Schizosaccharomyces pombe: one gene and its partner. The protein of the gene in region 2 binds, or shares a complex with, the protein of the main gene of each other region. Each region holds a gene or a part of one and is shown on either strand. Other genes may lie near its edges. A codon is read from its position in the direction of its gene.

Region 1 (4,821 bases), on a different chromosome or scaffold from region 2:
TAGCATAGTTGGTTATTGCGCACGACTGTTAATCGTGAGGTCGAGGGTTCGAGTCCCTCCCTGACCGGATATATTTTTGTGTAAATATATTTTGTATATACACAGTTAAACGAGTACTACCAGTTATTTTATTATTGTGCTCATTGAAAATTCTTTCAAAAATCATGTTGAAGCTTTTAACAAAATTTAAAATACCTCTTATCTTTTCTTACACTATATATCTTGTTAAATTTTTTGACAAACGTCTACGGCCATACCTAGGCGAAAACACCAGTTCCCGTCCGATCACTGCAGTTAAGCGTCTGAGGGCCTCGTTAGTACTATGGTTGGAGACAACATGGGAATCCGGGGTGCTGTAGGCTTTTTGCCATATATGTTTTGGTTTCCACTATCGTGCGAACGATTTCAATAAACAAACATTCGTGTTTTTTTCGCTTATGCAAATGGAAAATGTTCATACCAATTTTTAACTCCATAAAAGCCGATATTCCTTACAGAAGATTAACCCGATAAACCCTCGCAGTGATTGAATGAATTGAACGGAATGCTCGACGATTATTCGCAAAAATCTATTTTTATAAAATAAAACTACATAACTACATTATCAAGTCGACTTACTACTACATGAATTTTAACGCAAGTTGCTAATTACGAGCAAGCGCCCAAGAAAAAAGGTACAAAAAAGGAAGAATGAATTCAGATTAACTCTGTAACATTCAAAGTTATGTCGATAAATTTTACAACACGAACGAATCCGTTTCATTTGTAAACATGGGTAGGTTAGTAAGCGGTTTCCGCTAAATCAGCGATAAAGTGAATAGTTGCTAGAAAGAAAGCAAGAAAGTAAAAGAGATTTTCAAGAGACTGCTAAATGAGAAGGGAGATAGAAAAATAAGATGACAAGGAATATCACGGGAGGATAAATTGCAAGCAAAAATGAATGCAAAGGCAGTATAAGAAGTGTCCGAGCAATACACCTTGACAGATAATAAATGAGAGAAAAGTTTAACTCTGAAGAAAGGGGGTTTTCAAAGGTGATGCAGTAAGCAACCGACTTTGCACTATAAACAACTCTGGTATGCTCTCATCTACTGAAATGATATTACTTGTGTGCAAACAGCTTCATATCCAACCGGTGATAGTACTGATCAACACGTAAACAACGTATATTGGTGAATTCAGCTCATATATCTGAAGAGAGCGAAGAGGCAGACGAAATCATAAAGGCGTTAACAAACAATAGCAAAGGATGAGCCTTAAGATTAAATAATAGACAATAGTCAAAAGTCCCAAGAAAATGCGTTTACCAACGGTTCATAGAAATACTGCTACGAATACGGTTGTAGTCCAACAAACCCTCAATGGAACCAACAGCAGAAACAGCAATGTCCTTGTCCCAAATCATCTCGGAAGCAACGCGGGCTACATCTTTTTCAGTGATTTGACCGATACGGAGATCAACCTCTTGAGGGCTCATACGACGACCAGTTGTAAGCAATTGGCGACCAATGTCCTCTGCAATGGCGGTCGTTGAATCCAAAGAAAGTAAAAGCGAAGCACGGAGTTGTGCCTTGGCACGTTCAACCTCAGCACGAGTTGCAACGGTTAAACGAGCCCAGTTTTGGAGGGTAAAGTGGACGAGATCATCAATACGGCCAAGGTTCTCAGTGACAAGATAAATACCCCAAAGTCCAGTATCACTATAACTAGTACTGAAACTCATGAAGCTATTGGCAAGTTGATGTTGTTGAACAATAGTACTAAGACGAGAAGACAAATGGGGAGATGCTCCCATAGCACGGTCCCAGTTACCAATGATGGCTTGCATGACTAATGCAGTAAAGTAATCTGGGTGTTTCCAACTCATACCTTCAACAGCAATGGCAATGTTGGCAGTTGGTGAATCATCGTCACGAGCACGGATTTCAGACCCGACGAAACGAGGTTTGAGTCCACGAGGAGCACCAAGCGACAATTGCTCAGCTGAAGGCTCCAAATGGCCAAAATATTTTTCGGCGAGCTTTACAAGCTCCTCATGAGATATCGAACCGGCAGAAGAGATAATCATTCTATCACTACGGTAGTTGTCCTTAATATACTGGAGAAGGTCCTCACGGGTAAGAGATTCGATGTTTTCCTTAGGACCCAAAATTGTACGTCCAAGAGGATGACCCTGATAAGCGGTAGCATGTAAATGATCAAAGACTACTTCATCGGCCATTTTGTCAACCTCTTCTTGCTCTCTTAAGATGACTTGGCGTTCACGCTCAACCGCCGAGGCAGAAATGCTTGAATTTGTCAGGATATCGGCCAAAACGGCAACTGCATTAGGTACAGCGTTTTTGAACGCATGTGCATAATAAACGGTTTGTTCACGAGAGGTGTATGCGTTCAAATGTGCACCAGTATTTTCAAATTCCAATTCCAATGCTTTTTGGGAGCGATTTTTCGTTCCTTTGAACGCCAAATGTTCCAAAAAGTGAGCAGCGCCATTATTTTTTGCCGTCTCAGCTCTTGAGCCAGCATCAACGCCCACAAGGACGGTCGCTGTTTGGGCATACGGATGATGTTCCGTAGCAACTGTAAGCCCATTTTTTAAAGTAGTGGTTTCTGTTTTTGGTAAAGCAGTAGTCGCAAAACGACGTACTAGCTTTGGCAAATTCTGAAGCCTCAGCATAGTAATATCAATTCAAGCTCCTTTGGTTGGGTGGGATTCTGTGGATGGTAAAGGGTAAGTAGGTAGCAAGAAGGTATTCCGTAGAGGTGTAGCGTAATACGTGTTATCGAGGTCCCAAGTTCGAATTTCGGCAAATGACCAATTGATCCCATTTAATAAAAAAAGAAAACTAGCAATCCTTGAATCCCTTACTAGAATTTCCATGTAGAGAAAAATAAGAAGTTGACCATTCAAACAGAAACTTTCGGATTGCCTAGTCTTTGCCCTGTGCGCAATTTGCTATAAAGGAAGGAAACGAATGACCGTACAATCCAGTTCATGATATAATATATCTCTACTTAACATGGAGAATCTCATTGGTAAAAAACTATGTAGGGGATATATTGTTTCATCGGTATATTGAAAAGAATCTATATGACATTGAATCAGACAGGGTAAGACACTTCATCAGGTTAAGTTCGTATTCATCTACATTAAAAGGTTATTTATACTTAACGAAATTCTCTTTTCCATGATTTCCATTACAATATTTCGGTTAATACATTTTTAAAAAAATAACAGTCCAACTATAGAATTTTGACTAGCACCGAATCAAGCATTGTTATACATCGACTATTGAGTAGCTTGATGGTTTCTTTTTATGAGAATAGTTTTTTATATAAATGATATTAATTTAAATAAAATTTTCATCCTCTTAAAACCGTTTCTCTAACCTTTTTTTAAGCCAATGCAGCACCTTTATATTAGCATAATTGCTACAAGTAAATTTCTATAGCTTTATCTATATTATATTATTAAGTAAAAAGATTTACAGTAGATTATTGTTTTTTCACAATGTAGTGCTTTCCGTAAAATTTTTTTTGAAACTGCAGTAACTTTTGGTACTGTGTAATATTATAATAGATATTCAAACTCACCACAAAACCCATGTAATATTATATGTAGAAGGTAATTCGTTTTCAGCAGTGAATAATATTATTATAAAAAGTAATAACCAGGTTTTGAAACGACCTTAAAGACCGGAGATTCTTCTGAATAAACTTATTAATCTATTATATCTATTTAAATTTCTAGTCTTTACTCTATGTTATACAATTTTTCGTTTATGAGTAGATAGATTTAGGTTCTCATCGCCTATTTCCGGCCACTCCAAGCTCAACACATCGAGCTGTTGAATGGCCAATAATGTGGACACAAGATCCGCCAATACGAACTCACCTACTACCACCACCAGCTTTTCTTGGTTTACAAACAATATGTTACAAACACGTTTAGGACTTGGAGCACTTCGTCAAGGACGTCTTCTTTTTGCAGTTAAATCTTTTAGCACAACCAGTGTTGCGAAAATTTTCCCTCCTCCCCCTCAGACCATTAAGGGAACTGTTAATGATGCTGCTGTTTTCCCTCACCACAGTAAGCTCCACGGAAGCTATCATTGGGACTTTGAAAGAATTATTGCTATTGCCATGGTTCCTCAAGTCATGATCCCTTTGTTCACCGGAACTTCTCATCCCTTAATGGACGCTGCATTGGCTTGCACCTTGATTACGCATGCCCACTTGGGGTTTGAATCTTGTGTGATTGACTACTTCCCTGCAAGAAGATTTAAGAAGTTATCTCCTTTGATGCACTGGATCTTACGTGGATGTACTGTTCTTACACTTATTGGCGTCTATGAGTTCAACACGAATGATATTGGCCTTACGGAGGGTATTAAAAAGCTTTGGAAATCTTAAGCTTCTTTCCATGCAAACCCATATAACCCCACTTATTTTTTCATAATGATTATTCCTTTCCTTTTTCTTTTTTATTCTCCTTAATCCGTCATCTAGTAAGTTTTGGGCTTGAAACTTACCAGTTCAAACCCCAAAACTGCCAATTGATATTCTGCAGTTGATCTTTGCTCTTTTCTTGATTTCTGGCTTGATTGATCCTCTCAATTTATCTGTGTAAATCTGTTTAGCGCTTGCACAGTATGTTTATGTTTACCTTCAACGATAATTTTTCTAGTGGGAGTGGTTAGAAGACTATTCAAGTTTGTGGCAGCTCTTGTTAAGGTCCTTATGTCGACTTGAATTAATAATTCTTCCAAGACAAAATCCATTGAATTATTTTATTGGGTGTCCCATTTATTATTTATCGTT
Region 2 (4,284 bases):
TTCTCGATATTTACAGGGCTATGGGGTAACTTTTCATGTAAACGAAACTATTGGGATGAAGAAGAAACTTGCTAGCGCGGTCGGCCTATCGGCAGAGTATGACAGAGAGTATCCTTTTTCTGGATTTCCTAATTAGCGATTCTGGCAGAAAAGTACTCGACGAAAATTAATCGCTTATATTTTTTTACTATTTATTCACGTGTATTATTATATTGGAAATGTATATAATTATTGGGAGTGAAACGTTCAAGAGTTCAACCCAGCTACTTATAACTCTTGTTTACCTGATGTTGAATAATCTTGAATCTTTGTGATTGTTGAATTAAAAAGCATACCGAAAGCAAAGCATTCAAATTAGGTGATTTGTGAGGTAAAATTTTTAAGATAAGATGCCATGGGCTTGCATATTTAATTTTTAAAAAATGATGTTTGCATAAAGACGATAACATACTGTCTTCGAAAATCCGTTTTATGAGAAATCTGAAGTTAATATAAGTTAACCGCTCTTGATGGCGATAGTTATCATTATTGTTTATGAAATCTCAAGAGAGAAACTATTATTTTAATGTTGCATTGCATATATAAATATATATTTTTTAATTTCTTTACAAATTAGTACATCGTCATCATACATAATAATACTACCAAATTATTTATTGGTATTAATTCATTGGAAAATAACATTAATCATTGTTGCCTAAAGGAGAGCATAAGACGATCCGTCAGGACTGTGAATTTGAGTAATGAAGTATGTTACGAAAAAAAATAATTCAAAACATCATCCTAAGCTTATGGTGTATAAAAAGTTTTCAAAGAAAGATTTTCGATAAAAAAAAAGATTTGTAGAGAAGTATCCTAAAGCTCATCGTAGTAAGGGAGCACGTCAAGGTTACCCACAGCAACTGTACTAGCAGGTTTGGCTAATAAAGATGAAACCACCTTAGAGATGGATGCGGGGGTAACCTTGTCGAAACCACTAATAAAGGCATCAGATCCTTTTGAAGCAGAAACTAAAGATGAAGCAGATATGGCGTTCAAAGTAACAGGTTCAAAAGCAGACAAGTACTTAGTCTTAGCCATTGCAATGCCACTTTTAACAACATCATTGGGGATATTAGAAGATAATGATTTAAGGGCCTTGAAAGATTCAGAGGCAGTAGCTTTAATAGCTTTTGGACAACTGCCAGAAATAACGACCGATAGCAAACTGGCATCCGAATAAGGAGTGAGATCAGCAACAGCTGTGGCTTTGTATTCAGAAGCAGTTCCAGCAGCCTTAGCAAGGAGAGTGTTTCCATGAGACCATTTCACGGCAGCATCTCCTCCAAGTATAGAAGACAACACAAAAAGCTCAGGAGAAGCAGCGGGAGCTGGAAATCCTAAACAGAAATAATTGGTTCCTTTGGAATAAACACGTGATTCCCCAGAAGAAATCTTTGTGGGTGCTGACTTCAAAGGACTGCCATCGGGAATTACGGCAAAATACTTAGCACACAGGTCAGAAGCCTTCTGAACGTCGGGACCAGAGGAAATAACGGAAAAGTTAGACTTAACATAAGCCTTTGAAGCAAAATCTTTTATTTCAGAGATAGAAGGGCTGGCAGAAGCAGGAAGGTAAACTTCGTTTCCAATGCCACGGTGGAAAGCCTTTTCGTGAAGCTTGGCCATGGCGACCCTAAGGATGTCTTCCCTAAACAGTTCAGACTCAATGCGAGCGGTCGGTAAAACTTCTTCTGTTAACTGGAAAGGAAGGAATTTGGTGGCATCAACGACTTCAGCCAACAATCTGGCATAATATTCGAGATATTCATTCAAAAAACGAGCTGTTAATATGATGTGCTCACGAGTGATTTGAGTTGATAACTGTCCTCCTAAAAGTTCAGATTCTCGAGTAATCCGTAAAGCAGAACGCTCTTCCGTAGTTTTAAATGCAAACTTCTCCAAAAGGTGCGAAACACCAGCATCTGGTTGATAACGGCTTCCGGCGTTAATCACAACGGATAAAGAACCTGTCGCAGTAGGTGTCTCGCGCCCGGCAAACGAAACTCCTTCCACTTTTTTTGGTGTATAAGAGATTCCATGCAAATTTCGTCTCGGGGTCTGAAATCTTCTTAAATTTCTTGTAAACGACTTCATATTACCTATTTAGGACTTTTCGAAAAAGTTTTTAATCGGTGTTTACTAAATTACGCTGCTTGCAACAGAGGTGGGAGTTGGGAGTGGGTATCTTAGGGATCCGCCTAAATCGGCTGCAAGAGGATATGACAAAGTTTGAATTGGCCAGTTGCGTTATAATGGAGAAACTAGGATTTGCAGCGTTTAAGTTCTTCCAATTTAATGAATCAAAAAAAGAAATTTGATTTTTATTTCATTATGGTTTTGACTGCTTCAAATGCCAATGGTGCAGAATATGATCGTCTTAAAAAAAACCTACTGATGGCGGAAAAGAATTGCTTTATAGAACTTGTAGGCAAAAATATCAATCTGTAAAGACTATATGTGGATTTGTTTAAAAGCTAAGCCTTCAACTTTACTTGTAGTAATGTCTAGTAATGAATTAGGAATCGACATCAACTTATTAAAAAACAATAAATAACGTATTATAGACTAAGAAAAAATCCCCACTTAAGTTATGTCACTTATTGAGCTTTTATACTTCACTAAGAAACTGTTTTACGCTTCAACGATAATATTCCAATCCCAGAAATGGTTAGATTCAAAGACTAGTGAACCACGACCAAGACATCAAAGATTAGCTAATAGTAAATTCAAGATATGTCACCGAACTTTTTTTTCTCTCCTTTTTTCCGCGAGAACATATTATTTTAGACCAATTGTTGAAATTTTTTACTCACCCTTTTCCTTTTAGATCCCTTTTTAGAGAAGTCTGTATAAACTTTTTCTTCAAAACAAACATCCGATAGCCGAATGTAGCTTATAACTCCATAATCTACAATTGCAATAATAATGTTTCTGTACCCTTCCTTTAGTCTTTGAAACATATGCTGTGGCATGTTTTGTCGAAGAGGAGTACTTGAAAAAAGCGCATCAATCTCAAAAATAGTAGGTAATAATGTATCCTGAGAGCTAACCACACATATCCTAAAATCAGGCTCTGATAAGGCCGATTTTTTGAATGAAGCTGAAGGTTTGTATGCGTGAAATGTGATTTGAAATAATGAATCTGAAGATGTTATAAGATTACAAGCGATTGGAACATAACCGCGGACAATTTGCAAATCATGATACACTTCTTCGTATGTATAAAATGTATCATGTAAGAGGATAGACTGCCTCCTCCGCTTTGAAAATGGAAAAGCTAGTTTCCGAAAGTTAAATGTTTGTAATATTTGTGAAGCCTTTCCCAATCCTAAAAACAATAAATCCTTGAAATTCATAATTTTCGAATCGCATCGATATTCATCTTCTTTTACTGGAACTAGGTTTGAACGTATAACCGAAAAACCACATCTCCGTAAATGAGCATAAACAAGATAATTTTCTAAGCTACCACATAAAGGAATAGAGGCTGAGTAAACTGCTTGCAAACTCATTGGCAATCCTTCTTCTGACCAGCATTCCATCGATCCACGTTCAACAAGATACAAAGTCTCCTCTGGAAGTAACCACATGCGATTTTGAGAGTCAGCAGTACCCATGGTTTTAAACAAAGGTCCATGTGCCTTTTCAACACAAGACATCCCATTTTGGGCATTCCAAGTAGCTATTATTGCATGTTTGCTAAATGCCATCCACGTTAGCTTATGACATTTTTAACGTAACTGAAATTGCGGTCATTCTCAAACTTACGCCGATATTAATCTCTCCACTGAAAGGGCATCAAACATCGCCTTCCTGCTCAAGTCGAGAGCAGAATGTTGCTTATTGGTGCCATCTGGTTCAAAGTCTTTTTGTCCACGTTTTGGGATAGTGTATGTCCCTTGGTCTCTGTTATTTTAATGAAATTAGTACATTTCTAGAAAAATTATACAACGAGTAAGAGGCTGAATGGTCGAAATACTTACTTTTCGACATTTGATAAAAATCTCCAATCTTGAATTTCTTCTGTGACGTCTACAGTAGTTTCAAGATTCGTAAATGGATTATCTTCATCCTGTGCATCCATAGAAATACTATAATTCCAAAGAAGTGTCGTTAGAAGCGACTTTAAGAAGAAGACAGATATGCACTTTGTAAGTTGAAAATAATGGAGTTCTTCGAACTAGGTAATATGTCAAAATTTACATGAAAATTAGAGGTTGTTGCAATGCCCTTTCTAGAAAA

The links.
Region 1: the proteins of qcr2 (region 2) and qcr1 are in contact, whole or in part, in a cryo-EM structure (PDB 8Q1B), measured with the Schizosaccharomyces pombe proteins. Residues at the interface, in NP_587698.1 of Schizosaccharomyces pombe: Glu37 (codon at 2,028), Thr38 (codon at 2,025), Pro39 (codon at 2,022), Thr40 (codon at 2,019), Thr42 (codon at 2,013), Lys71 (codon at 1,926), Ala78 (codon at 1,905), Leu79 (codon at 1,902), Thr82 (codon at 1,893), Arg83 (codon at 1,890), Glu86 (codon at 1,881), Leu87 (codon at 1,878), Gly89 (codon at 1,872), Gln91 (codon at 1,866), Arg106 (codon at 1,821), Phe107 (codon at 1,818), Leu108 (codon at 1,815), Glu110 (codon at 1,809), Glu136 (codon at 1,731), Thr140 (codon at 1,719), Ile143 (codon at 1,710), Pro206 (codon at 1,521), Asp207 (codon at 1,518), Ala275 (codon at 1,314), Val276 (codon at 1,311), Lys277 (codon at 1,308), Trp278 (codon at 1,305), Ser279 (codon at 1,302), Gly281 (codon at 1,296), Asn282 (codon at 1,293); in NP_595827.1 of Schizosaccharomyces pombe: Ala15 (codon at 2,635), Thr16 (codon at 2,632), Thr17 (codon at 2,629), Ala18 (codon at 2,626), Leu19 (codon at 2,623), Pro20 (codon at 2,620), His38 (codon at 2,566), Gln42 (codon at 2,554), Thr43 (codon at 2,551), Glu69 (codon at 2,473), His70 (codon at 2,470), Phe73 (codon at 2,461), Lys74 (codon at 2,458), Lys82 (codon at 2,434), Glu85 (codon at 2,425), Leu86 (codon at 2,422), Phe88 (codon at 2,416), Glu89 (codon at 2,413), Asn90 (codon at 2,410), Thr91 (codon at 2,407), Gly92 (codon at 2,404), Ala93 (codon at 2,401), His94 (codon at 2,398), Leu95 (codon at 2,395), Asn96 (codon at 2,392), Ala97 (codon at 2,389), His109 (codon at 2,353), Ala110 (codon at 2,350), Phe111 (codon at 2,347), Glu146 (codon at 2,242).

What each region holds. Positions count from the first base shown.
Region 1 is NC_003423.3:2,032,167-2,036,987, forward strand, and holds qcr1 (MPP complex beta subunit Qcr1), read right to left. Parts: upstream 2,734-4,821; 5' UTR 2,678-2,733; coding exon 1,304-2,677; 3' UTR 676-1,303; downstream 1-675. Other genes in the region: TIM22 inner membrane protein import complex and succinate dehydrogenase (SDH) anchor subunit Tim18, read left to right, coding at 3,934-4,413. UniProt on the Schizosaccharomyces pombe protein: Catalytic subunit of the essential mitochondrial processing protease (MPP), which cleaves the mitochondrial sequence off newly imported precursors proteins. Preferentially, cleaves after an arginine at position P2.
Region 2 is NC_003421.2:94,573-98,856, reverse strand, and holds qcr2 (ubiquinol-cytochrome-c reductase complex core protein Qcr2), read right to left. Parts: upstream 2,231-4,284; 5' UTR 2,137-2,230; coding exon 856-2,136; 3' UTR 647-855; downstream 1-646. Other genes in the region: protein meu23, read left to right, coding at 1-136; tRNA-splicing endonuclease subunit Sen54, read right to left, coding at 2,826-3,741, 3,811-3,948, 4,026-4,126. UniProt on the Schizosaccharomyces pombe protein: Component of the ubiquinol-cytochrome c oxidoreductase, a multisubunit transmembrane complex that is part of the mitochondrial electron transport chain which drives oxidative phosphorylation.